7 linked regions of the Callithrix jacchus genome follow. The protein of the gene in region 4 interacts with the protein of the main gene of each other region in a pairwise test. Links are inferred from orthologs where the notes say so. Each region holds a gene or a part of one and is shown on either strand. Other genes may lie near its edges.

Region 1 (3,955 bases), on a different chromosome or scaffold from region 4:
TCACACCTGTAATCCCAGCACTTTGGGAGGCCGAGGCAGGCGGATCATGAGGTCAGGAGATCAAGACCATCCTGGCTAACACGGTGAAACCCCGTCTCTACCAAAAATATGAAAAATTAGCCAGATGCAGTAGTGGGCGCCTATAATCCAAACTACTTGGGAGGCTGAGGCAGAGAATCGCTTGAACCCGGGCGGCATAGGTTGCAGTGAGCCGAGATTGTGCCACTGCACTCCAGCATGACAACAGAATGAGACTCTGTCTCAAAAAGGAAAGAAAAGAAAAAACCCTAAGGGCACATCACTATGCAGCTCAAAACTTTTCATGGGTTCCCACCATGCTCAAAAAAAAAAAAAACTCGAGAGTCCCCACAAACCCAGCCTACCAGGCCCCTCCTGACCCAGCTCCTGTATACTCAGACCTCATCTCCCCCATTGCCCCTCACTCGCCAGCCTTGCTGCTGTCTCTCAAACACACCTCAGCACCTGTGCCCTTGCTGTTCCTGCTGTCTGGAAGGGTCACAAATCCCCGACTTCTTTTGGGCCTCCTTTGCTCCGAAAGGACGACATTTCCTTGCAGCCCCAACTAGAAAAGCACCGCTTCCAGTCAGCCCTGCCCTGTGTCTACAACAGCAGATAAGCGCTCTAGCAACGGCTGAGTAAATGGAACTAGAATAAAGGCGTTAAGGCAGAGTTGAGCATCTCTCTTCATCTGACCCTTCAAACAGGCAATCTGAAGGGGCCACTTCCCAGACAGCAGGGAAAAGAACAGGACCCAAGAAAGGTCAGTCCAAAAAGCACCAGAGCCTTTTGGGGTATGGAGAGTAGGACTAGCCGGCTGAAGTCAGGGCAGAAGACAAAGCTGAGGAGCTGGTCGGGCACAGGGCTTGGGTACTTTTTATTTTCTTATTCAGAGACAGGGTCTCGCTCTGTCACCCAGGCTGGAGTGTAGGGGTGCGATCATAGCTCACTGGAACCTCAACATCCCAGGCCCAGGTAAGTCTCCCACCTCAGTCTCCTGTGTAGCTGGGACTAGAGGTGCACACCACATGCTTAATTTTTCTATCTGTAGTAGAAACATAGTTTCATCATGCTTCCCAGGCTGCTCATGAACTCCTGGACTCACGCAATCCTCCGGCCTCTGCCTCTCAAAGTGCTGGGATTACAGGCATCAGCAACCCACCACACCCCGCCAGAGCATGTGTACTTAATTTGTTAAGCAATGGGGAATTACTAATTAAGCCAGAGTTGAGTGACTCATCAGGATCTGCCCAAGAGTACTGTAATTTACTCCACTGATAAAGTGGGAGGTTAAGACCAGCAGCAGGGAAAACTCCTCACCAAATGAAAGAGAAGTAACCAGATAGGAGAGCGAGGTAGGGAAGGAAAGGGTGGGACACGCCACAAGACAGGACCATCCCCTGAGCAATCCATGGGTAAAGAAGAGCCACAGTCTACGATGGGCTCTAAATCTAGGTGGCCAAGATATGGTGTATTTCAAGGAAATACACTGGGCATGGTGGCACACTCCTATAACCCCAGCACTTTGCGAGGCCAGGGTGGGAGGATGGCTTGAGCCCAGGAGTTTGAGACCAACCTGGACAGTAAGTCTAGACCCCGTCTATACAAAAACAATGTTTTAAAAAAGTTAGCCGGGTGTGGTGGCACGGGCCTGTAGTCCCAGCTTCTTGGGAGGCTGTGCCAGGAGGATCGCTTGAGACAGGAGGTCGAGGCTGCCCGTGATGGCGCCATGGCATTCCAGCCTGGGTGACAGAGAAAGAACCTTTCTCAAGAAAAAGAAATTTAAAAAAAGAAACTGGGGCTGGGCGTGGTGACTCACGCCTATAATCCCAGCGCTTTGAGGTGAGGCGGTTGGAACACTTGAGGTCAGGAATTCGAGACCAGCCTGGCCAGAGCAAGGCTGTCTCAGGAAAAAAAAAAAAAAAAGAGAAAAATTGGGACAAATTAAGTTTGTTAAAATACAAAATTTTCGAGAAAGCGGGATGGACAGGATCTAAAGCTCAAAACAGATTAGACCAGGAAAGGATGTGGAGGGGTTTTCCCCGCCTAAGTGGGTGGCCGTGACCGCGGAGGCGCCAGGAGCGGATTAACTTGAAATGTGACAGCAAGGAACTGACAATCCAGACACGCCACGTGTACCCATTTACCCTTAAGTGTCCCCAGACAGGCTGGCTTTCCACCCCGGAGTTTATTCCCTACTGGGGACTCCTACTTCCAAAAGAAAATCTTATTTGTCCTAAATCTCAGCATCTCGAATCCCGTAAAAATAGAATTAAGAAGAAGGAAAACTGGGAAAGGGGGAAGTCCCTCGGACCCAAAGAAACCCCTGACATCTGGAAGCTCAGACTTCTCCCACCAGGCCCCAGACCCCGGCGTCTCCCCCTCGTCCCTCTCCAAACAGCCCCAGGCCGCCGCGCGGTCTATTCGGAAGGAGTGGCAGACTTTAAGTAGAGTTCTGAGCGGAGGGGACCATGACAGCCTCTCCCGGAAGCGGGCCCCGAAACTTGAGCACCAACGGTCGGCCCCAGACCCTGCACATGCGCTCCGGTGCCCAACGGCCACTACACAGCGCCAGACACCCAACCGCCCCGACCCCCTCGTCTCGCGACCCCTTCTCCTCTTCTCCTTAGCTCCCAACGTCTCCCTTCGTACTCCCGTTCTTAGGCGAGACGTCTCCACACCGCGGCCCCGCGCCCGGGATCCGCCGCTCACCTGACTTCCCGTTCTTCGCGTGCTGCTAGGAGCGCCTTCCGACTTCGGTTATCCGCGGGCGCTCACGCACGAGCTGCCGCGCTTCCTGCCTCTTGCGTCAGACTACAGCTCTGCTCACTGGGCCGCTGCCTTTTCACTCAAGAGAGACCGAAGCGGTGATTGGGTCCTGTGGAAGGGACCGGGAGATTATTGGTGGAGAGGGAAAGAAAGAGGGCATGCCTTACGCCTCCCGTTCATTGGTCAATCTAAAAGTAGGCGCGCCCCAGTGAGCCGACCGAGACGAGCGCCGACTGCGCGCGGTCTGGTGATCTGGGTGTGGCGCTCTATGGGTGCCGCCATGTTTACTGAAGACCAGATTGCCCCAGGGCGTGTGCCCCACCCTCTCAAAGCGCGGCTTTTGCGCTAGCAACCGAAACCGCAACTGTTGGAGTTGCTTTCAATGTGCGGCCTGGTGATCCTCCTTTGTGAAAGCTCTGAAAAGAACAGGGAGTGGCCGGGCGCAGTGGCTCACGCCTATAATCCCAGCACTTGGGAGGCCGAGGCGGGTGGATCCCGAGGTCAAGAGATCGAGACCATCCTGGCCAACATGGTGAAACCCCGTCTCTACTAAAAATACAAAAAATTAGCTGGGCATTAGTGGCGCGCCTGTAGTCCCAGCTACTCTGGAGGCTGGGGCAGGAGAATTGCTTGAACCCAGGAGGCGGAGGTTGCGGTGAGCCAAGATAGTGCCATTGCACTCCAGTCTGGGTAACAACAGCGAAACTCCGTCTCAAAACAACAACAACAACAACAACAAACAGGGAGCTTGGAATGACTCAAGTGGAGAGGACATTTTGTACTATTTTCCTATTGCCACAGGATGCTTTGTCTCCTTCAATTTCACATAAGTAGAGTTGTCTTTTGTGTCTGACTTTTGCTCAACAATTTTTTTTTGTTTTGAGACGGAGTCTCGCCCTGTCGCCCAGGCTGGAGTGCAGTGGCACAATCTCAGCTCACCGCAACCTCCGCCTCCCAGGTTCAAGTGATTCTCCTGCCTCAGCCTCCTAAGTAGCTGGGACTAGAAGCGCTCGCCACCACGCCTGGCTAATTTTCATATTTTTAGTAGAGACGAGATTTCGCCATGTTGGCCAGAGTGGTCTTGAACTCCTGGCCTCATGTGCTCCGCCCACTTCAACCTCCCAAAGTGCTGGGATTACGTGATCCACCATGCCTGGCCTCAACAAAG
Region 2 (3,500 bases), on a different chromosome or scaffold from region 4:
GTCCAAGGCAAGATCTACCCCTGCCACCCTGGGGCCAGGCATCCTGACACCACCACAGAGACAGAGGCAGCAGCCCCAGGCACTAAGCTTTTAGCGTGTATCATTCATTCAATCCTCCCGTACTCCTTGCAGCAGGTATCATCCCCACTTTACAGATGAGGAAACAGTGGGTCAAAGAGATGAACTGACTTGCTGAGATCACACAGCTCGAAGCGATGATGCTGCGACCCACGCCTAGGCAGCCAAGCCCAAAGCCAGGCTCCAGGCCACTGTGCCATGGGGTGGTTCCTCAGGCAGCAAGTGCTCAGGAACCTGGGCAGAGGGACACCAGCCCCGGGCCCACACACTCCTCTCCAGCTCCCCTCTCAGGCAGAAGGACACCACATTACTGTATCCAGATGGCCTTGGAGGCTGGGGCTGAGTCCAAGGCAGGACTGTAGCTCCAAACACCCCACACTCCTCACTCTCATCCCCTCCTCTGCACATTCATCCTGAGACCTTGAGCACGTCCCAAGGGCTGTGGGCCTCAGTTTCCTCATCTGTCCAATGGGAGATACATTCTGGCACCCCTTCCCTGGGGGCAGCCCCAGGCCATTCTTACCCTCGACCAGCTGGTGGCAGTCACAGGCCACCTGAGGCCTCTCTTCTCAGGAGTGAAAGGTAGAAGGCCACACCCCACAACCTCCCTCCACTCCTCTCAAAGAGAAAGGAGAGACAGAGGTGTCAGAGAGCAGGCAAACAGCTCGGCCACCAGCAGAAGGGGTACAGGAAAGGGCATGGGAGAGGGCGGGGTGAGGGTGAGGATGGGCGAGTGGGGAGGGATTGGTGGGTACGGGGAGTGCCCACAGTTCAGGGCCGTCTTCGCTGAGGCTCACACAGCCTACGCTAGAGCAGGCTCTCCTTTGGCTACCTAGCACAATCTCTGCCGCAGGAGAGGAAAGACCCCACGTGGCAGGAAATGGGGTTCCAGTGTTGGGGCCCGGTGAGAACAGAGAGGAGACCTGTAGGTGCCGGTGGCCCTCATGCTGGAGATAGCCCAGGGCTGCCCCTGGGAACTAAATGGTACCCCCAGCTGTGCCTGTGCTCTAGGCTGAGAGAAGGGCCTAGCCTTAGCCTCACAGCAGGAGAAGGTCGCAGCGGACCAGGACAGTCAGGGGACCCCTGGGCTCCTGCAGCAGAGACCAGGAGCTTGGACTCCTCCAGCCTGGTACAGAGTGCCCATGCCATGCTCTTCCTGCTGGCCCCATGGGGTAAGGCCAGCTCACTGGGGGAGAGCCTGGGGGCCAGGCAAGGGAGAGAAGGGAGTGGTGGGGAGCTGGCCAGAGGTGGTGGCCTCACCAGTGTGGACCAGGAGCTCACCCCCGCGCTCCCGGTACATGTGGTAGATGAAGCAGCAGGAGAGCGGCTTGAGCAGCAAGCTGAGGATGGCCATGCCCGCGCCGAAGCGGCCCGTGTCCGTGAGGTTTCCCCGCGGATAGAAGATGCTGATGTGTACGATGTCCAGGAAGATGGTGGCCAGCAAGCCACACAGAAACTGCAAGACACAGGCACTGATGAGCACAAGAGCCCTGCCGTGTCCCGTGGCTCCCCACCATGTACCAGATGCGAAGCTGTTTCATGCCCTACTGTGTCCTTGGGGCTTGCTGGAAAACTGAGCAAGCAAGCAGGCAGGACTCACAGGGGAGCGGCTGGCTGAGACTGCAGTCTAGGGGCAGGGACGCAGGGGGCTCAGGTCTCGGTTCCACAGAGCCTCCCTCCCTACCCATTTTCGATCACCTCTAAGACCATGATGGGCACAAGACTGGGCTCTAGAACCTCCATAAAGGAAGGTTCCTTGTTCACCCAGTCTGTCTCCAACACGAAGAAAATCCCTTCTCAGGGCCAGGCACGGTGGCTCATGCCTGTAATCCCAGCACTTTGGGAGGCTAAGGCAGGTAGATCATGAGGTCAGGAGTTCGAGACCAGCCTGGCCAATAAGGTGAAACCCTATCTCTACTAAAAATCCAAAAAATTAGCCGCACATGATGGCACATGCCTGTAGTCCCAGCTGCTTGGGAGGCTGAGGCAGGAGAATCACTGAACCTGGAAGGCAAAGGTTGTAGTGAGCTGAGATCGCACCACTGCAATCTAGCCTGGGCGACAGAGCAAGACTGTCTCAGAACAAAAAAAAAAAGAAAAAGGAAATCCCTTCTCACTCCTCAGTCACCCCGAGCCCTGGCCAAGGCTTGAAGAGCCGGTGCAGGGGGTGCACGCTGCCCCACGGGGCTTGGTGGGTGCTAAGAAGCTTCCCCTGTGGGAAGTTTCGGTCGGCCTGGGTCACCTCTCCTTCCTAAAGTAGTGGCGTGCCCCCTTGGCTGGGTCTCCATGTCCTCTCCCCTAAAAGAGAGCCCCAGAGGCAGGTTATAGGGAATGCTCCATTGCTCTTGCAGAGAAGCCAATCTGGGGCACCCCTTGGCTTTCCTGGGGGAGATAATGGCAGACCTGGGCTTCTCTAAGCCAGGCAAGAAGAGTAGCATGCTCGCTCCCAAAGACAGGCATGGGCTGACACCCGGGAGGCTGAAGAAAAAGGCTTTAGACAACAGGCAGTGGTGGCCCCAGGAAGAGAAGGAAGATTGGGATGGGACAGGGAGGCAGAGCCAGGCCGTGTGTCGCCCTGTGCTTCGGCCCCCGCCCTGGCTCACCATGCTTATGGCGTCGATGGAGTCCCGCTGAGCCACAGCCCACACGCCCAAGGCCAGGATGGTGAAGTTGGCCCAGGCATAGGAGCCCGAGAACACGATGCAGCCCCTGTCAAAGAAGCAGCTTAGTCCCATCAGGTGGCCACCAACCCGCAGGTCACCTCCCTCCTGTGCCAGGGGTCTCAGGGCCTCCTCCCAGAACAGACCTTAGTCTTTGAGGCCACCTGGCTATGTGCCAGCAAATCCCATGGGCTCGCCTCCCACCCAGACCCTGGATCTGGCTGTGTCCCTGCAGGTCCCAAGCACCTCCGTCTCCTGCCAGATGACAGCCTCCTGACTGCCACTCTGTTCTCTAAATAGCAACTGGTAGTGTAGTCAGATGCTGTCAATCCTCTGCTAAAAATCCTCCAACAGTTTTCCATCCCATTTGGAATAAAATGCAGACTCTTCACCAGGGCTTAAGGGGCCCGTGGGACCCCGGGCCCAGCCCCGCCCTCCCTGACCTCCCAGCCACAGCCCCGTACAGTGGGCGCCCTCTACTCTGACACTTGGCCCCCCTTTTGTCATTGAGCAGCAGCTTGAATGTTCACTCTGAGACTCCTTCCCTCACCCACCAATGCTAAGTACGACCTCGTCACTTTCCTAACACAAGGCCCACCCTATTCTACCATTTAGGGTATTGCCTAACTGACATTGTTGATTTGTTCACTTGTCAATCCAATCAAAATCATAGTGAACACAGAGCACTTGCTAGTACCTGGCATGGTTCTAACTATTATTTATTTATTTTTGACGGAGTTTCGCTCTGTCAGCCAGGCTGGA
Region 3 (4,267 bases), on a different chromosome or scaffold from region 4:
AATGCCAAAGGGGTTCTGGGGTGTTATATAGCAGATCATTTATGCTGAGAGCTTTTATTACAGGCTCTTAGGAATATTGGCATTGTCACAATAATAAAAATAAAGAAGCAATTAAATAACATTGCAGTTTCTCTCTTCTGAAATGTAATAAGAGGACTTCATATGCATGTGATGTCCTGAGTACAACAAATACTCAAACAAGATAATACATAATTCTCTAAATAGAATGTTTTCAGTGTGTAAGTTTATATGGAGAAAGTGCTCTGAAGGTCTGCAGGGAGGAGTAGACATGGTCCCAGCCCTCAACATCTTTAATGACATGTCATGGAAAATGACACAGGTACAAACATAATTAAATCACCACAAAAGGGATAAAGGATGGGGAGTAACATACTTTTGGGGAACAGAAAAGGCTTCAGAAACTTGGGGAAAATTTGGAATGGACCTTGAAGCACAGTAAGATTTCATGAGATGATGATTAAGGTTGGGAGAGGAGGAAGGATGTGAGAATTTGAGGGACAGGAAAGAAAAGGAACTGTCCAAGTGTTCAGTGTGGTTAGGAAACTGGGTTGAGGAATTGCCTAAGGCTAGAAAGTGGGTTGGAGTTAGGATGTATCAGACCATGGCTGACCACTGTTAGGAAGATTCTGCAGTTGTTGATATAATAGTGATCTATATGTACATATGTATGTATGTGTATGTCTGTGTGTGTGTGATGTGGTTTAAAAAATATATATATATGTCATCTCAAACTTACAGAAAAGTTGCAAGTACAGTAAAACAACTTTTCTTTTTCCTAAATTATTTAAGAATAGATTTCCAATCTGATGACCTATCACCCTTCATTATATAGCTGAGTATATATTTCCTACAAAAAAGATATAACCACAATACAGCCATCAAAATCAGCAAATTAGTAGAGCTACAATACTACAATTTAATAATCAGATCCAATGTGAATTTCACTAAGGTAGGTGGCTTCTGGAAGCTGGAAAGGGGATTCATCCCAAGAGTTTCCAGAGAGAAAGGCAACCCTGCCAACTCTTTGATTTTAACCCAGTGAGACCTCAGTAAGACTGCTACAGAATCCTAAAACAGTAGAGTGTGTGTGTGTGTGTGTGTGTGTGTGTGCCTATGTGTTTAAGTCACTAAATCCATGTAATTTGTTATGGCAGAGAATAAAAAAACGAATACAAATCATTATCACTGTATTTCCCTAATCAGTCATACCACTGTGGTGCCAGGCCGTGTAGAATCCAATCTTCCTATAAGCGTTCCTGGCAGTAAAAAGAAAGAAAGGTGATAGAACGTCTGCCTGTTGTACATACAGACTGGAAACAGTATTCCCTTCGGATGACTCCTTTAAAAAAAACCTTGCCTGTTCTGCAACGCGAGCCATGACTGCACAACTCTGCCCCTGCCAAGAATCATTTTCTTAAGAAATTTGTTTTCCTAAGAGTTATCTCTAGAGACACTCCGAGAAAACAGCGAGGAAACACAAATTATTTTATGTTTCAATTTCCTGAATGAAGCAAAGCAAACAAGGTGCGAAGCAAACAGGGTTCCAAGCCCTGACGGCCCAGAGACTGCACAGCGGGCCCAGAAGCAGGAGCGCCCCCTCGACGGGCGGCGTAGCCTCTGCGACGCGGCTGCGGGCAGCTCCGGGAGGAGGATCTCAACCCCAGTGTTGCCCCACTCCGGTAGGCCCTGCCGTCCCCCGCCTCCCTTTGCGGATGTCTTGAATAGTGTAGGGGTCTAGGGGAAACTTCCCCTTTGCTCTTTGAAGGGCAAAGGCAGATTAAATAGGAGAAATAGCATATACATTTATTAATGTGCACGGGGGAAAAAATCACAGTAATTATACTACTGTACAATGGGGTACAGATGGTTATATTCCCTACTTTTTAGGAGAAAGGGAGATTGGGAAGTGTGGATGATTATAGGGTTAGTAAATGGTTTTTAAGGGAATTCAAGGGACTTGAAAAACATACAGTGGCCTTGGACAAAGCCTGTTGGGCTTGCAGAGCAGACAGTGGTTGTAACAAAAGTCTCTCTAGGTTTGTTGACGGACTTCGGACTTCTTTCTGTGATATGAATTCAGTTAATAAAAACTCAGGGGGCCGGGCGCGGTGGCTCACGCCTGTAATCCCAGCACTTTGGGAGGCCGAGGCGGGCGGATCACGAGGGATCGAGACCATCCTGGCGAACATGGTGAAACTCCGTCTCTTTTTTTTTTGCCAATCTCTTTGAGCTTATGAGGTTGCTCAGTTTAGCCTTGAACTCATGACCTCACCTTCACAAGCGCCACGACCTCCGGCGGGAGCCACTTTGGCCCCCAACTCCGTCTTTACTGAAAAAAAATACAGGCCGGGCGCGGTGGCTCAAGCCTGTAATCCCAGCACTTTGGGAGGTCGAGGCGGGTGGATCACGAGGTCAACAGATCGAGACTATCCTGGTCAACATGGTGAAACCCCGTCTCTACTAAAAATACAAAAAAATTAGCTGGGCATGGTGGCGCATGCCTGTAATCCCAGCTACTCCGGAGGCTGAGGCAGGAGAATTGCCCGAACCCAGGAGGCGGAGGTTGCGGTGAGCCGAGATCGCGCCATTGCACTCCAGCCTGGGTAACAAGAGCGAAACTCCGTCTCAAAAGAAAAAAAAAAAAAATACAAAAATTAGCTGGGCATGGTGGCTTGTGCCTGTAGTCCCAGCTACTCGGGAGGCTGAGGCAGAATTGCTTGAACCCGGGAGGCGGAGGTTGCAGTGAACCGAGATCGCGCCACCGCACTCCAGCCTGGCCCCTGACGACAGAACGAGACTCTGTCTCTAAACAAACAAACAAACTCAGGGAAGGGACTAGAGGTAATTGTTTTGTTTTCCGGCAGGTCCCAAATTTAAGCAGATAAGAGAATCAGTGCACCTTCGTCTGGTGCTTTGGGAGAGACAGAGGAGGAGGGGGAGGTCAGAGAGACCTTGAGGCATCTTCAGTTCAGCATGTCAAAGTGCCATACTTCGGGGTATCAGTTTCTGAGCCCCGGTGATAGCAGAAGGATCCAGCTCAGAATCATACTTTGTATTCAGTTGTGACGTCTCTTTAGTCTCAGTGTGGACATTTTTTAGTCTTTCCTTGGCCTTCTGAACTTGAAACTTTTGAAGAGAACAGGGCAATTGTATTGAAGAACATCTCGATTTGAGTTTGTCTGATGTTTCCTCATGCTTAGATTCAGGTTATGCATCTTTGGCAGGACGATCATCGAAGTCACGTTGTGTTCTCAGTGCATCCTGTAACATGTTACATTATTTTGATTTATTCCATCATTTACTTTGATTATCTCATTATGTTGATATCTGCCAGGTTTCTCCAGTGTAAAGTTACTCTTTTCCTCTTTGAAAGTAATAAACACTTTGTGAGCTGGGCGTGGTGGTTCACGCCTGTAATCCCAGCGCTTTGGGAGGCTGAGGCGGGCAGATCACGAGGTCAAGAGATCAAGACCATCCTGGCCAACATGGCGAAACCCCGTCTCTACTAAAAAAGTACAAAAAATTAGCCGGGCGTGGTGGTGCATGCCTGTAGTCCCAGCTACTCGCAAGGCTGAGGCAGGAGAATTGCCTGAAACCGGAAAACGGAAGTTGCAGTGAGCCGGGATTGCACTACTGCCCTCCAGCCTGGCAGTAGAGCAAAACTCTGTCTCTATCTCAGTAAACACTTTGTGGGGAAGAATTTTGAAGATCACTAAAAATTCCGTTCCTCACCAAAATTTCTAATTTATCTGGATGTAGTTTTCTACTTTAATCAGCAGATTTAATCAGTACTACCATTATCCATTTTAATCTTTAATTTTTTCCGCAGATTTGGTCACTGAAAACCATCTCAAGCTGGATTCTGTGTCCTTTTGACATGTTGTCATCATTCTTTAAGCATTTCCTTGCTTTTTGGTGTCATAAGATGTCCCAGGCTCATCTTGCAGTTTTTCTGTCCTGGTTTTGGGATCAACCATTTCTCTAAAGAGTCCTGGTTCCTTCTAGTGGAGAATGGTATCAGAAACCAAAGTCTGGGTGCTGAGTGTGCTCATTGCTCATTGTGGTTGTCTCTGCTCTCAGGCCTTCTCAGCAGACAGAACTGGGGTATATATGTATTTGTATATACACAAAATACATACATAGGTCTATCTATCTATCTATCTATCTATCATCTATCTATCTCAATCATCTATCAGAAACCACAGCTGCAAGATTACATTGAAATCTAGTTCCAATCAACAGTATT
Region 4 (3,500 bases):
CCTCCACGGGTCCCACACCATCCAGGTCACCAGGGCCCTTGTGCCCACCTAGGACGGCCCCCCTACAGCGTAGAAGGCCTGGCGGAGTCCTCAGCTCCACAGAGGTGCCCCCCTTTGGTGCTGAAACACCAGAGTTGAGGGCGGCTGCAGCGTCCCTGTGGACTTTGCTAACCAGCACACACTTAGGTTTCGATTCTCCAGCAAGTCGGTAAACAGAGTGCTGTTTCCGTGAGTAAAGGTGGCCACCAGCAGGGTGACCGTCGAGGGTGGCGTTGAGGCTGCGGGCCCCGCCCCCTGGTGTCCTCAGCGCCAGGAACATCTCCCTGGATCTGCAGCCCTCCTGCGGCGACAGTGCGGTCCAGCATGCTCCCACCTAGAGCCATAAGGCAAAGGTGCCCGGCCCCTGAGCTCCCATCCAAATGTGTGCCACTTCGTCTGGCCAGGGATCTGGTCCCCTATGCCGAGCTCTGCTCTGCCCGGCAGGACCCGGCTGTCCCCTGAAGCCACAGGTTTGCGGTAGTGGCTGTGGGGTCTGGGAAGGGTGGCCCTGTGGGGGCTCCTCCCACAGCAAGTCTGAGCCTCTGCCCTCTGGTGCTTCTTCCGTCCTGTCTTCAAGAATAACAGGAGTCCACTGGCCGATGTCTCAGTTCTGAGTGCCCAATACTAAGTCAGGGACCCAGTACCCCACACACACCTGGGGACCCAGCCCTGCCTATTCCCCACCTGGTGGTGTGGTGGGGACCCTGCCATGCCAGCCACCACAGGGTGGCAGCTACCACCTAGTCTCTGAATGTCTGTTTTGTCCCCATGGAGCAGAGGCCACACCATGTGCCACAGATGGGGGCATGGTGGGGGTGGGCACAGGGAAGGGATCTTACCTGCCCCCCACCCCGGCAGGTGATCTGGGAGCCACTCACAAAGCCTCCCCTGGTGGACCCCAGGGTTGGACAGCGGCTTGCAGAAGAGTCCTGCTGAGCTGGGCCAGCAGGTGTTGGAGCAGGTCCACCTGCTGCGCGCCGGTGTGCGCGTGATCGGGCAGCAGGAGCCTGCGTCGCCTCTCCTGATGGCGTGCTCTGCCTCCTGTGTTGCAGGGACTCTGAACATGTCGGGGATCGCCCTCAGCAGACTCGCTCAGGAGAGGAAAGCGTGGAGAAAAGACCACCCGTTTGTAAGGAGAGCTTCATGTCCGTGTGCAGCGCAGTGGGCAGTCTCCCGGGTTGAAACTGTCACGTCCCTGCCGGAAGGGAGCCGGCCACGTGCCTGTGCCCAGCCACTGGGACTCACAGGCGGGTTCTCGGTGATCTTGGTGAAATGATGCCACCGCGCTGATGGGCTTTTGTGATTGTTTTCTCTCAGGGTTTCGTGGCTGTCCCAACAAAAAACCCCGATGGCACGATGAACCTCATGAACTGGGAGTGCGCCATTCCAGGAAAGAAAGGGGTAAGAGGCGCACGCTGCCGGCCTCCGCCTGGCGGGGCCCAGCACCACAGGGAAACCACTCAGATCCCTGCCGTCCGTGACAGCCATCCTTGTCACAGGTCAAATCCCAGCTCTGTCCTGGCCCCTGCCCCATCGGGACGTGAACGCAGAAGGTGGGACTGGCAAGGTTTGACAGCTGTATCCCCTCCCAGGGCAGTTCTGGTTGAGAAGGAAGCAGGCTGGCACCTGGCCGGGCACAAGGCTGAGCTGTGGCAGCAGGGAGGGGCTCTGATGTGTGTTGGGAACGCAGAGCTGCACAGGCGAGGTTGAGAGCAGGTGGAGAGGCAGGAGTCCTTCAGGATTCGGCTGCGTCCTTCAGCGTGTGGCTCAGCTTTCGGGAGCGGGTTTGTAGGGGGAGCCAGCCCTGCGTAAAGCCGCCTCCTGGAGACCCCCCAGGGACCGGCGGCGTCTGCCTGGGCGTCCTGCTTGGGGACCCCTGTGTGTCCCTGGCAGGCAGCACAGCCCATGTGCCTGTCTTCTTTGGCCCGCGCACGTGAAGCGCCTGGCCGGGGACTCCAGGCTGCGGTGCACGTGCAGTTCATGCTTGTTGATTCCGAAGGGAGCGGAGAGACCCCTGAGGTGCTGGTCCTGCCTAAGGCCTCGTTCCCTCCGGCTCTGGCCCCGCTCTGGGTTTCTGTGAAACTCAGAGCAGCTCTGGTCCCCTGAGCTCAGCAGCCCCCAGGACTCTGCCTTGCCCGAGACATAGCGTGGCTTGGGTTCGTCACTTGTCCGAGGCTCTGATGAGGACGTCCTTGCCCCTCACGTTAGGGCGAGGCTGGTGCACAGCGCCAAGGAAGGTGGAAGGTGGTGTGGGGTCGTGGGCGGCAGAGGTGCCTCGTCCAGGCGGGATGGGGGTGGGTGCTTGGGAACACCCCTGGGGTGAGGGCAATGCTGTGCTCTTGGTGCCCTTGTGCCAGCCCCAGTGTGCGGTGCTCTGCCCCCAGCCCGGCCCCCACCTCCCGCCTCCACTCCTTTCCAACTTACTCTGGGCACAGCAGAGGTCCTGACAGCCCTCTTGTTGAGGCTGTTCCAGGCTGCAGGCTGGTTTAGGAGCTACCTCTGTTGGGCCTCTGGCCCCTGGTGTCCTGGGGGCTGTGCCTGAGAAGCAGGCCCCTTCCTCCTGGGCCGCCCTGTGCGGGCGAGCAGCTCATCTCACCACGGTTTATTTCCCATTAGACTCCGTGGGAAGGAGGCTTGTTTAAACTACGGATGCTTTTCAAAGATGACTATCCATCTTCACCACCGAAATGTGAGTACCTCGCCATTCAGTGCCCTGGAAGGCACCCCTGGCTGCGGCCGTGGCGCCCTGGGCTGGGTGGTCTGCGTGGAGCTGGGAGGGAGATCACAGACCGGGAGGTCGCCTTTGATTCTTGATCCCGGCTGGGCTGCAGATTTGAGTCTGTTTCCAGCTCCGGGGCCGGGCGGTGCACACAGTAGGTTTAGTCTTGTCCTGGCTAATGGGCTGGGAAGCTCCAGAGTCTTGTGCACGGAGGGACTGAGAGCCAGGCCGGAGCTCCTGGACTGGGAGTGCCTGGAGCCTCACTGAGGACAGAGGACTTGGTGACCGCACGACCCTGCCCTGGATGGATGGATGTGCAGAGGGACTGCCATGCAGTCTCACCCTCTGAGGAGTTCTGTCGGTCCACCTTCTTACTGCTCCTGCTGTGTGGTCTCTTACGGTCTGTCCCCACCGTGGCTGCGTCTGCAGCCTGAGCAGGTATAGAGCAGGTGACAGCAGAGGAAGCATGGGAAGAAAGGCTGTGGCCAGGCCCCAGATCCTGCCCATAGCTAAGCTGATGACCTCAGCCAGCCAGTGCAGCAAAGCTCAGGAGGGAGGAGAGGGCCGCCGGGTCCCCGCCCTCCCATAGCTGGCAGTCGGCAGGTGGTGTCCAGTGAGTTCCACGCGTCAATGCACCCAGCACCTAGAGAGCGCCTGGCCATGGTGAGGCGACAGTTGAAAAAGCTTTCCCCTGTGATTGTCAGTCGAGGCACACAAGCATTCCACCGTGGCACCCACCCTC
Region 5 (4,259 bases), on a different chromosome or scaffold from region 4:
TCATCATTATGCATTTAGAAAACACTTTGTAAAGATTTCATGAGGTGTAAGTCAAAGTGTCTTCATATCTTAAATAGCACCAGCAGGGCTCTGTAAGTGGTACACGTGACCAACTTTTTCTAAGTCAAATACCTAAGCTTAAAAGTAGTGGCTCCGGTGATTACTAAATCTAACTTAAGTTTTTAAGAAGAAACACCAGAAAAAGAGGAAATATGGTGGTTATGTTAAGCAAATCAAAGTCTGAATTCAATTATACCTAAGTTGTTTGATTTGTTTCGTTTTCAAAGCTTTTCTATCAATTTGAACAAGGTTCCTATTTCTTTTTCCATAAATGTAACACTTCTCCATTGTAGTTCATTTTTAATTGGTTTTTGTTTCACATCTTTCCTGTCCATCCCACTGGACAAGCAACTCAGTTTACTTTGGCTTTACTTTTATAACTCACAGTAATATTATAAGTCATATAAAAACTTTGAGCTTTTTGTTACAGAAACCATTTTTCCATCAGTGCAGACCATTTGACATTTTCTTAGAAATCAAACTTAAATAAATATAACAGCAATTTCTCTGACACACACTTGTTCAAGTATTACATTTCTCCTCAGGGAACTAAGGGGCAACCAATCTATTCTTCATTTACTTTCAAGTTAAACAACTTTGTTACAAAACAAAACCCAAAAAGGGGGAAATTAATAGCAAAAAGAGAAGGCATTTCTTATATTCCAGTCAGTTTGCAAGCAAAATCACTGGAGCAAATCCTAAGTGGCTGGAAGAGAACAATAAGTACTTCAAGGCCAGAATGTGCTACTTGCCCTCTGTGGTAAGCAACCTTTAGTGGCATCCAACCTAAGCTGATATCACATATCAATCAGAATCCTGCTTACCCATTAGCCCTTACTCATACATATATATATACGTATATACAGTTATTAGTGGCAGAATCTAGTGACCAAACTCTCTAGGACCCTGAACCATTCTACGCAAACTCACCAGAAAAAAATACGGATCAATAAAATCAATGCAATTAAAATTTTGACTGCAGAGTCAACTGAAACAACTGCATATTCGTGAGACTGTTAAGAACAGAAACGTGGGATTACTTTGTGCCTCCTTTTACAGTGAAAGGTTTTATCTTTGTGCTCAAAGTATGGACAGTTTACATACTTTACTCATTTATGAAATATACTGATCTCCAAATGTCTTCATAAAATTGGTAAACCCAGAATATATTAAAGTCAAATTGTCTATTTTCCTAACCAAACTTGTCATGTTTGAAACATTGAAGTCGTTTTTTAATAAATTTAAGAATTGTGTTGGACACTGGTAATACCTATTTTCCATGCTTCCTTCCACGTGCACCTTTTATTGCCAAAATACTGTAGTAAGGTGGAATATTATTTACAGAGATTATAGACATTCAAGAGGAAATGAGAATTACAAACGCACTCCTGCTACATCAAATTTGTAAATCTTCCTTTTAAAAATGAAAGGTGTTAGTTGATCTGCAAGGGTGTAACTTTAAAAAGCACAGTACACCCATGGATCCCTAAGCCTCAACAATTCAGTCCACTGCCACACCACAAATTCGAAGGAAATATGGTCAAGTTCTTAAGGGCACAAAAATATTTTTGCTCAGTTTAAAAAATGCCCTAGTAATATACTCTCTGTTAATTTCCTGAAGTTCCATGGCATATATTTAGGTTTCTGGAAACTTACACACACACACACACACACACACACACACACACAATTTTTAAGTAACAGAGTTGCTAATGGTTTTAGACGCTGAAGCGTGTGCATTCCTGAATTTACTCCGTTTAACAAAAGGGGGGGCGCGAATATTCACGATGATCAACGTCTTCAATGCATTGCTGAGCCATGTTAGGGTCTTCCTGAAACTTTTGGATCTAAAAATCTCCTCCGAAATCCACAAAGAGAAGCCACTAAAAATCAGTTGCCATTGTGATTTGGTGCCGACTACCGCTTCTTACTACTCTTTCTTCACAGCCCTCGCCCAGAGCAGGGGAGCTCTCCGAAGTCCCAATGCTGGACCGGAAAAGAGAAGCCAAAGGAGACCTGAAACCCTCTTGGCAGTGCAGGAGGCGGCCCGGCTGAAGAGCCCCCCGCTCCTCCACAACTACCCACACGTCAGGCCCGGATCCCGCTGGGAGAAGATATTTAGGAAAGAAGGAAGAAGCCGTCGCCGTCACTTAGCGCGGATTTCGGCCCTTCCCGCCCCGGCTCCTGTACCTGCCGCCGGCCCTCGCCCATCCCCAGCTCACCCCGGCGGGGCTCAGCGCCGAAAGGGAACCCTGTCCTCGTTCGTCTCTCATCCCGTTAGGCGCTAGGGCCTCTCGGAGTCGGAGCGGAGCTCGAGGGGCTTCCTACAGGCCCCAAGTCCAGTCCTTCCCTCCCAATCAACATCCCGCCGAGCGTGCCCTGGCACCCAGGCGCGGCGCTGGGGTAGAGGGCCCCGGGCCTGCCCCCGCCAACGTCAAGAAGAAAAAGGAGGGAAGGAAGGGCGAAGATGGGGCCTGCCCTGGAGCCAAGTACCTTGTAGAAAGCGCCATTGGAGCCCCGCACTTCCACCACCAGCTCCTCCATCTTCTCTTCAGCCCTGCTCGCGCCGGGAGCCCGCCCCCGAGAGGTGGGCTGCGGGCGCTCGAGGCCCAGCCGCCGCCGCCGCCGCCGCCGCCGCCGCGCTGCCGCACGCCCCCTGGCAGCGGCGCCTCCGTCACCGCCGCCGCCCGCGCTCGCCGTCGGCCCGCCGCCCGCTCAGAGGCGGCCCTCCACCGGAAGTGAAACCGAAACGGAGCTGTGCGCCTGACTGAGGCCGAACCCTCGGCCCGCTGCGCGTGTAAACACTGAAACTGCGTCACGTGATCGACGCTGTTCCCTCCCCCCGCGGGCTCAGCCCCTCGGCCCCGCCCTCTCGCTTCCAGTGGCCAGGGCGCGCGCGCATGCGCGTTGCTGGGATCGGGCCGGAGTGCCGGGTCGAACGTCAGAGGCGCGGGCGGGGCGTGCGCGGGCTCGGCGGAGGGCGGGAAGGCTGAAGGGCGGTGACAGGTCGCACCGCCTCGCGAGGGTCAGAACTCCCATTTCTGCAAAGGTGCATGCTGTGTCGTGTGAAATCAACTGCATCCGGTTATCCCATTGGCCTCACTAGGATTCCGGGGGCATGTCTGGTTTGGTTTGATTCAAAGTAGCGCAGAGCCTGATTGAGCGGGAGGTGGAGTGGAAGGCGAGAATGAGGGTAAAGGAGTAGATTGACGAAGACTTTGAACTAGGAACAGTGGCAACCAGGGTGACCTTGGCTTTCGAGACCCATAGAGGCAGAGGGTGAAGAGTCACGCCCTCTCTCACCAGATTTTGGGCTTTCCTGTGGAGACATCCTGGGCCCTTTCAGGGACAGTGTATTGAGTCAGGACCTCAAAATGTTAGCCTTTCCTCACACCCAGCTTTGACCCATGTACTTGCCTTTCCTCAATTTATTTTCGTGCTTTCACTTGACACACTTTAAAAAATTGTGTTAAGCACTTCTTAATGTCTTTAAAGTTCGTTTCTGCCCCTACTGTATGTGCACCCTGTGTCGGGGTGCACGTATGTGTGGCAGTCATGGGTCCTGTCTACAGGGGCCGTTGCACCTCCTTGCAACCCTTTACCTTCTACTCTAAAACAAAGCCCACCTTTTTCTTATTCCTGTTTCTGCACGGTGCTTATAGCTGCGTTGATCCATGTTTCCTTAGGGATGCTGGTATCCAGCTGAGAAGTTTATGGAGCACCTATCATGTGCCAGGCACTGTGCTCAGTGCTAGCGAGAAATTGGTGAGTAAAACAGAAAAAAAAAAAGAAAAGAAAAGACTGCCAGCATTGAACTTGGAACCTAGAGAAGTAGATGGACATAAATTATCCTGGCAAGTAAATGAGGAGTTGCAGCTGTGATAAGGGCTACGAAGAATAGGTGCATCCATGATGACATAACATGACCCAGTCTGGGGTGGAGAATCGGGAATGATTCCAGCTGGAATATGGCAGGTGAGAGTTAACTGTAGCACTGAGTTTGCAGAGGCAGGATGACCTGCCCCAGGCAGGTGCCCCAGAATGAGAAGATGTTGGTGCTGGTGGAATGTCAGCTTTAAAGCGGTGGATTTAGGGCCACATTCCTCAAGGCCATAGTAAACAGGAAAGACCTTTTTGGACTACTGTCTTTGGAGTAGTCACTTGAGACCAAGACTTCAATAGGGCTGAAAGAGAATCTC
Region 6 (3,500 bases), on a different chromosome or scaffold from region 4:
TTCACATGTCGAGGGGGTTCCCAAGTGTCACTATCATCTGTCTCTTCTTCATCCTCTTCCTGGTCATCAATAACTTCATCTTCCTCCTCATTTTCCTCAAATAATTCTATACCTAATTCTGATCTTCTCTGTCTTTCAGCAAACCACTCTCTGACCTGCTCATATCCCATATGTGATTTGTTAACAAGTTCATCGAGATCTTGCTCATTAAGAAACTTGTGCTTCAGGTAATAATCCTTAAGTATTGCAGTTCCAGTTTTAAATTTTATGAGTGATGGTCCCCTGTCCCAGTTGTTAATTCTTTTGCTTCCTCTAGGCCGCCCACGCGGTCTTCCTCTTCCCCGTCCTTTGGGTCTCCCTCTCCCTCTTTTCCGAAGGGAAGATAGACCATTCATACCACTTGAATTGGCGCTCTGATAGTAGTAATACCATTTCAAGTTTCCATTCTTCCAAGCATAACGTGTGTCCCCAAACCAACTAACTATGTCTGTTCTAGCAAGCCCGCTTTCTTTGGCCAACTTGTCATATTCTTCTGGTGATGGCCACTGTGTCCGGACAAATGCACTCTTAAGCATGTGCAGCTGCTCAGGTGTTTTTTTACATATCTTGCCTGTACTCCCTGACTTAGGTGCACTAGATTCATCTCCAGGAGAAGTTTCTCCAGCTTCTTCTTTGGAACTACCTGCATTACTTTCATCTATTTCCATTTTATCTTCCTTTAAAGCTTTTGATTTCTTCTTCTCTGTAAACCAAGCATCGATTTCTCTTCTGGTAAGTTTGGTTTGTGCCCTTAACCTATTTAATTCTTCATCTGTAAGTACAGAGCTGTTGAGAAAACTTGCCTGAAGGACACGAAGCTGCTCTGCAGTTTTCTCTTTAAACTTTTGGGGAGTAAAGTCGGGAAAAGGATTCCAGGATTGCTTAGGCTGTGCAGTAACAACAGTAGGGGATTCGGTGGTTTCATCACTGGAGTCTATAATAATGGTGGCAGAGGAATCATTGTTGAGATGTAAGCACTGATTACTCTTTGAATTTCTCTGGTTGTACCTTGTGTCACTAAACCATTTTTTAATCTCTCCTTTCGTGAGGCCTGTTATTTTCATAAGTCTGATAATTTCTGAATCATGGGGAAACTGATTTTTAAGGTAGCTAACTTTTAATTCCGCCAGTTGCTCTTTTGTCTTTTTTGCCCGAATGCCAAAAGAATCAGGGTTTATCAATGCAGTTTCGTGTTTGATACTTTGAGAAGTTGGAACTGCTGCTGTTGCAGGCTTTGTTTCTGCAGTAGGCTGAGAAGCAGGTGCCTGACTTTTCTGTACATTAGTTTGATTTGGAACCCCTGCCACTGTCAAGGCTATAGGTGCTGTAACTGGTAAGGTGTTTGTTCCAGCCACTTGAGTAAGGACCAGACCAGGCTGACCAACTATTTGGCATGTCTGTAAAATAGATGGTAAACCATTACTCCCTGTAGAAATTTGTGTAGGAATAACAGTTATGGTCTGAGGTACAGTATGCACCGTTCCATTGAATTGTTTCCTTCTTGCCTCCTCTACTTCCTCGGGAGTCCAACTAACACCATGTTTTAAACGTTGGGCTGAAAACCATATCTTGATCTGTTCCTCTGTATATTTTGCTTGAGCAGAAAGAACCGTAATTTCTGACATTGTTGGATAAGGGAATTTGTTGTAGGTGTTAAGTAAAAGGGGGTTGTTGTCCAATGCAGCATTGTAGGTGGGAATGCTATTAACAGGGATTAAGACTTTGGGAATCAAATTAGAATTCTGCTGGGCAGATACAGCAGTTATCACCTGAGCTAATCCAGGAAGAACTGCTGCTGGTGTCACTACTGTGCTGGCAGTATTTGGATGTATTCTGTTTACAGTGGAAGTACTTGTATTAGATTCAGAAGCTGAAGAACTTGGATTTTCTACAATTTCTTCACGGTCTGGTTTGATTTCATTTTCTTTCTCTTCAGGAACATCCTCAACTGAGTTATGATGAACTGCAATCCGTTTGTTTTCCACTTTATTTTTCATCATTTTCATGATAGGAGTTTTACTGATAGATATTCCCGAAGAAACTTCTGTAGATTCCACTTGCTCTGCATTCTCCTCTTTAACAAAACTACCATCAAAAGTCAGATCATTTATTGTTTGTTCAAAGATTGTCTGGTTATTACGTTTGACCATAGTCAACTTAAAATTCTCTTCTCCTGGGTGGTATTTCAGATTATGCTCAGAAAGTGCATCATACCTTTTGGTAAGAAAATTGCATTCGACACAAACATAGGATGAATTTAGCACTACATTGGGATGTTCTGAATCCACATGAAAAGTAAACATATTTAGATCTGGAGTTTGAAAAGTACAATATTTACATTCATATCCGCCTTCAACTTTTTTATTTTGCTGATTGTCAGAATCCACAGATTCATGAACTTCTTCATCACTTGAAATACTCTCTGCTCTGGTGTTTTCTACAGGTGTAAGTACAGGAGGACCTTCATCCAAATCTGATATCAACTCAAGGTCTGGATCTTGTTCACTGGCAAGGACCATGCAAGGTGTTGTTGATTTTCGTCTGCTTGCCATTCTGATGTTATGAGGAGAAGCTCAGTGGTGATTAAAAAGCATCGAGGCTTGAAACTGTTCAGTGTTCTTCATTTGAAAACAATGGCTTTTGGTTCTTCAAGTCCATTTTTGTGCTCAAGAAGTCTCGTTAGCAGCTTTCTCATGGTGCAATCAAGTAAAGAGCTTATTGTTGGCAGATAAAATACTGCTGAATTGCTGAAATTTTTGAAGCACAACTCCAATCACCTACATTAAAATAAATTTAAAAATGTTTTAAAATGAGTAACTATGATCTTTTAAACAAATTATAGTTACAGTTCACTTATATGAAGTTGCTGGATAGCTCAGTTATAAAGATCTAGAATAAGGTAAGAATCAGGAAAAATATCCTCTAAGGATCAAAATAGCTGTTTTCAAGCCAACTCATTGAAGGTTAAGTGTTTTACCTTGAGTCAGACACAAGATTATTTATTTGAATTTTTTTGCCAGCTATATATTAAAAGACAAGGGAGAAACGACCGGCTTTGGCAAGCACCCTATTATTAATGTGAAGTGGCAACATTAACAAGGGAGGAGCTTTAACACTATAAAAAACATTCACAGATACTATCATGGCCAATAAGCATATAAGAAATTTAGCCTGGCCAACATGGTGAAACTCCATCTCTACTAAAAATACAAAAATTAGCCAGGCGTGGTGACAGATGCCTGTAGTCCCAGCTTCTTGGGAGGCTGAGGTAGGAGAATCTCTTGAACCTGGGAGGCAGAGATTGCAATGAGCCAAGCTTGTGCCAGTACATTCCAGCTTGGGCAACAGAGTGAGACTCCATCTCAAAAAAGAAAGAAAGAAAGAAATTTAATCCATTAGTTACATCCTCTTCTTCCTACTGATCTATCTCATCAGCCAAAAGCATGCTTCAAGTATAGCAA
Region 7 (4,021 bases), on a different chromosome or scaffold from region 4:
CACCACCTCCTCCCCCAGCTCAGCTCAGGTTACTGTAGTGGCTAGCAACTCCCACAGCCCAGGTCTGACACCAACTCTTCCCAAGACCAATAGTTTGTTTTTGTTTTGTTTTGTTTTTTTTTTTTCCCTTAATGGGGGAGAAGAGATCCTGTGCCAAGCAACAACACTCTGGGTACCTGGTCTCCGTATCTTTTGTGGCTACATTCCCTGTAGCCTGCAAATACTCTGTTTAACCACATTTGATTTCTTTCTTCCTCCTCTTCCGACTTTCTCAAAACACTCTGTCTTAACCTTTTCTGGCAACAGGCAATGAAATTAAGCACAGGTGAAAACACAGCACCTTCACCTTCGCTCTGAAACCTGGGAATCCCAGAGCAAAAGAGCTCACGCCTCTCGGGGAGTTTAAGGATGGTAGAAGCCACAGAAATAAGGAAAAAGGGGGAGTGACCTGGGATTGTAAACTGGCTACATCTTACAGTACTACAAACTTTCTCCTCCCTCACACACCCCTGGCCTGTTGGCTCCGCCTTCCCATCCCAGCTATGTCTGGTCCAGTGTTGCAAATGTGGCCTGCACTCAACACCACCCTTCCTCTCCAAAAGACTCTTCTCTACCCCATCCCCTCTTTCCCACAACACACACATGCTTTGTACAGGAAGATGAGTTTGGATGGGGCACAGGAGATATACCTATATACTAAAGGAGGGTAAAAGATGGTGCCAAATTGCCAGATAGTTTTGGTGACAGCACAGAAACTTCAAGAAATTACTTTTTAGTATAAATATACAGAAAAAGAAGAAAAACAGGATAAAGAGTGAAGGAATGAAAAGAAAAAGAAGGAAAAAGATGTCAAAGAAAAACAAGTAATACCAGTATTTCCTTAGAAACCTTGTGGACTCCAACTAAACTTTAAGGTTTGAAAGGTGTGGATATTTGGCAGGAGGTAGGGGGAGTGTAGGGGCTGGAAGGGAAAGGACTCTGCTGTAGAAGTCCAGAATAAACTGGCCTTTTGAAGGAGAGTTTCTGCAGGGATAAAGAGACACACAAATTGCCCTTTTAGCGTTAGATGTCAACCGTGAGATTATCAGGACAGTTTATTTGAAACGGAAACGAATCGGAAATCCTTCCCACAACAGTCCTTTTAGACAGATACACACCCTGAGAATCCAACTCAGACACACATAAAGAATAAATGCAGCATCAGGGGGCAATAAGAACTCCCCTTCCACACTCCCAGTACCTCTAGCCTCATCTCCTATTTCCAATTGTACAACTTTCAATCTCCAAAGAAAATATTTCCAGTTGGATCCTATTTCAGACTTGTAGTAAGCGGTCTGGATGGGGGGGGCGGGGGGAATAGGTGCTGTACTGTGCAGGGGAGAGGGGCTGGAAGACAGTATTTCGGCAGTTAACTTATTTTTTTAGAACCAGCATGCTCTACCGATCAGAAATTGCTATTACCCAACAATGCTTCCATCACAAACAGACACTGAAAACAGCATCCCCGTTATCACCATCTTGCTAAAGATCTGCCCGGTCCAGTTTACCTGACTTTGTCCCTGTGGAACTTCTCAGACAGTATTTTGGTCAAAGAGATAATGGTTTGGAAGACAAAAACAATAAATCGATACCGAAGGCTTCCCTTTCCGGAGTGATTTCCCACTGGAAACCACCGAACGGGGAAGCCTGCCGTTCATTCCCAAGCCCAGGGCTCCTCTAGAAACGCACACAATGCGTGCTTTCAAAAAGGCATTCGTCTGCTTTTAAGGGAATTCCTATCTCTTCAGAGTCCCAAAACCAGAGAGCATAAGAAAGAGACTCAAATCCATTGATTAAGATTTTTAAGAAAAAGACTAACACACAGCCACAACACAAGCACACACCAACCTTCGCCGGCTGGACCACTTCTTGCCTGTTCTTCTTTCTATTAACGACACGTTAGATTCTGATACATTTCCCCCCCCAAAAAAATCCAACTAGGTTACAATGTAGCTCTCTAGCTCCACTTAACCTGCAAGTTACAAAGAGAGCAAAAAAAAAAAAAAAAAAAAAAAAATCCTGCCTTCCCACCCCTTTCCTTACCCCCTCCCCCTCCCGAGTCCACTCCACCAACGCCAAACCCGCCAGCCCCGCCAGCCCCGCCAGCCGGCGGCAGGACCGAGGGAGGGTGCAAAAGGCGAGCGGGGGAAGGGGGGGAGATCAGATTAGGCGAAACTCAATAAGCTCCCAGCCCTCCAGCCCAAAGCTTCCACCATCGCTGCCACCAACGAGCCACTCCAATTGAGCCAGCCTCACCGCCCACCCGCCGGCCCGCCGGAATCGCTTCCATCTCCGGCCACCTAGCCCGGCCCGGCATCCCGCCCCCTCGGCCCGGTCTCCCCCTTCCCGCTCGGTGCAAAGTCAAAGACCCAGCAAGGCGACGTGAACTTTTGCATGCAGGGCACACACGTCGCCCCCGGTTCCTGGCGTACGGGGGCCCGCGGCGCGGAGGGGAGGGAGGCTGGGCTCCTGGACTCCCGGGCCAAGGTCGCCGCTCGTGCTCACCCATGTCCCGGCGGCTCCGGCTCCGCTGGCCCCGGCGCTCGCTCAGATCCCGGCTCCCGTCGCTCGCCCGAGCCCCCAAAGGTGCTGCTGCGGCAACTCCATGGCGATGAGCATCTGTCAAACGGCGAGCCGCGGGCTGGCCGCCCTAGCTCGGGGGGCGCCGGGGCCCCAGGGCGCGCGGAGGCGGCGGCGAGCGGCGGGCGCCCCGGCCGGCCCCGCGCTTCCCGCCCGACTCGGCCGCCTCCGCCGCGCCACCGATTTATGGAGAGAGATATCAAGGGGGAAAATGGCGTCTCCGGAGCCCGAGGAGTCCTGGAGTAATCACATTCACACACACACGCCCGCACGCACACACACTCGCACACAGGCGCGCGGCGAGCCCTGCTAATTTTAGCAGGAGCCAAAAAAAAATTATATATATAAATATATATATATATATATATATATATATATATATCTCCCCGTCTCTCCGATCAATGCTTTTTTTTTTTGGCTTTTTTCTTTTTTTTTTTTTTTTTGGCTTTTTTTTTTTTTTTTTTTTTTTTTTGCTTTTCTTCAAAGGATGGATTGGAGCGTTAAAAATGTTGTAGGGTTTGGGCTCGCAGGAGGCGGCGCGCGGAGGGCTAGGGCGCTTTTGCTGAGCTGTGCAGTTGGGTCCGCAGCGCCCGGCGGCCCTGCCCGCCCGCTTGTCCGCCCGCGGTCGCTAGTGTTGCCGCCGCCGCCGCCGCCGCCGCCGCTCCATGGCCGCGCCCGCCCCGCGCCCCCGCCGCGTCCCGTCGCCGCCCGCCCGCGTCCCCGGCGAGCGCTGGAGTGGGGTCGGGCCCGTGTGCTTGCCTCCGGCGCCCTCTCCGAGTCTCGGACTCCTAGTAAAAGGAAGGGGGAGGGCGCGGGCGCGGGCGCGGGAGGGAGGAGGATCGGAGCGGCAGCGCGGCCCAGCCGAGCGGGGACCGCCACCCGGCGCTCTTCCTCGCAGGGGGCGCCGGTGCCCACGCTGCTCGCCCGGAGACCGGAGCCGGGGGAGGCGCAGCCAGTAGCCAGCCGCGAACGACCTCTCTCCCGACCCGCCCCCCTGCCCCGGTGAATTTCTGTCAATTGAAGGGAGCGGGGCTCTCCCCCGGGGAAAAGGAGAACAGTTCGTGGACAGCGATCCGGGACCCCTCGCCGCCCCCACCCTACGCCCCTCCCGCTCCCCGGAGCCCTCGCGGCCCAGTGGCTCCTGCGCGCCTGAGTCCGCCGCGAAGACTGAGCGGCAGCGGGGAGCGCGGCGGGCTCGGCGCGGGTCCTGGGCTCAACACTGCCACTATCTGACACAACAGGAGCAGTGTCGGGGGGAATGGCGCCCAGGCGTGAGCTGTGATAGGCTCTCGAAACTGGGCGCATTTTTTTTTTTTTTTTAACCTGGTAATTACATTTCACTTTCAGGGGCTTGTTTTTTTTTATTTTATTTTATATTTCTTTTATTAAGCGACTTGTATGC

The links.
Region 1: the proteins of UBE2I (region 4) and DDX39A interact in a two-hybrid assay, tested with the Homo sapiens proteins (3 studies listed by BioGRID, with this or other methods). The link is inferred for Callithrix jacchus from reciprocal best matches to the Homo sapiens genes UBE2I and DDX39A.
Region 2: the proteins of UBE2I (region 4) and AGTRAP interact in a two-hybrid assay, tested with the Homo sapiens proteins (2 studies listed by BioGRID and IntAct). The two-hybrid records come from large-scale screens. The link is inferred for Callithrix jacchus from reciprocal best matches to the Homo sapiens genes UBE2I and AGTRAP.
Region 3: the proteins of UBE2I (region 4) and NMI interact in a two-hybrid assay, tested with the Homo sapiens proteins (3 studies listed by BioGRID and IntAct). The link is inferred for Callithrix jacchus from reciprocal best matches to the Homo sapiens genes UBE2I and NMI.
Region 5: the proteins of UBE2I (region 4) and FMR1 interact in a two-hybrid assay, tested with the Homo sapiens proteins (2 studies listed by BioGRID and IntAct). The link is inferred for Callithrix jacchus from reciprocal best matches to the Homo sapiens genes UBE2I and FMR1.
Region 6: the proteins of UBE2I (region 4) and ZHX1 interact in a two-hybrid assay, tested with the Homo sapiens proteins (2 studies listed by BioGRID and IntAct). The link is inferred for Callithrix jacchus from reciprocal best matches to the Homo sapiens genes UBE2I and ZHX1.
Region 7: the proteins of UBE2I (region 4) and SETBP1 interact in a two-hybrid assay, tested with the Homo sapiens proteins (2 studies listed by BioGRID). The two-hybrid records come from large-scale screens. The link is inferred for Callithrix jacchus from reciprocal best matches to the Homo sapiens genes UBE2I and SETBP1.

The regions. Positions count from the first base shown.
Region 1 is NC_133523.1:13,199,756-13,203,710, forward strand, and holds the start of DDX39A (ATP-dependent RNA helicase DDX39A), read right to left. Parts: upstream 2,801-3,955; 5' UTR 2,671-2,800; exon of another isoform or gene 476-2,670; intron 1-475. UniProt on the Homo sapiens protein: Helicase that plays an essential role in mRNA export and is involved in multiple steps in RNA metabolism including alternative splicing. Regulates nuclear mRNA export to the cytoplasm through association with ECD.
Region 2 is NC_133508.1:49,632,902-49,636,401, reverse strand, and holds part of AGTRAP (type-1 angiotensin II receptor-associated protein), read right to left. Parts: intron 2,788-3,500; coding exon 2,682-2,787; intron 1,535-2,681; coding exon 1,339-1,534; intron 1-1,338. UniProt on the Homo sapiens protein: Appears to be a negative regulator of type-1 angiotensin II receptor-mediated signaling by regulating receptor internalization as well as mechanism of receptor desensitization such as phosphorylation.
Region 3 is NC_133507.1:79,062,588-79,066,854, forward strand, and holds the start of NMI (N-myc-interactor), read left to right. Parts: upstream 1-1,467; 5' UTR 1,468-1,526; coding exon 1,527-1,700; intron 1,701-4,267. UniProt on the Homo sapiens protein: Acts as a signaling pathway regulator involved in innate immune system response.
Region 4 is NC_133513.1:3,569,106-3,572,605, forward strand, and holds part of UBE2I (SUMO-conjugating enzyme UBC9), read left to right. Parts: intron 1-1,091; 5' UTR 1,092-1,102; coding exon 1,103-1,168; intron 1,169-1,356; coding exon 1,357-1,440; intron 1,441-2,655; coding exon 2,656-2,728; intron 2,729-3,500. UniProt on the Homo sapiens protein: Accepts the ubiquitin-like proteins SUMO1, SUMO2, SUMO3, SUMO4 and SUMO1P1/SUMO5 from the UBLE1A-UBLE1B E1 complex and catalyzes their covalent attachment to other proteins with the help of an E3 ligase such as RANBP2, CBX4 and ZNF451.
Region 5 is NC_133524.1:144,482,037-144,486,295, reverse strand, and holds the start of FMR1 (fragile X messenger ribonucleoprotein 1), read right to left. Parts: upstream 2,801-4,259; 5' UTR 2,605-2,800; coding exon of another isoform or gene 2,554-2,604; intron 1-2,553.
Region 6 is NC_133517.1:74,119,159-74,122,658, reverse strand, and holds part of ZHX1 (zinc fingers and homeoboxes protein 1), read right to left. Parts: intron 2,817-3,500; 5' UTR 2,592-2,816; coding exon 1-2,591. UniProt on the Homo sapiens protein: Acts as a transcriptional repressor. Increases DNMT3B-mediated repressive transcriptional activity when DNMT3B is tethered to DNA. May link molecule between DNMT3B and other co-repressor proteins.
Region 7 is NC_133514.1:87,688,399-87,692,419, reverse strand, and holds the start of SETBP1 (SET-binding protein), read right to left. Parts: upstream 2,801-4,021; 5' UTR 2,545-2,800; intron 2,023-2,544; exon of another isoform or gene 1,888-2,022; intron 1-1,887.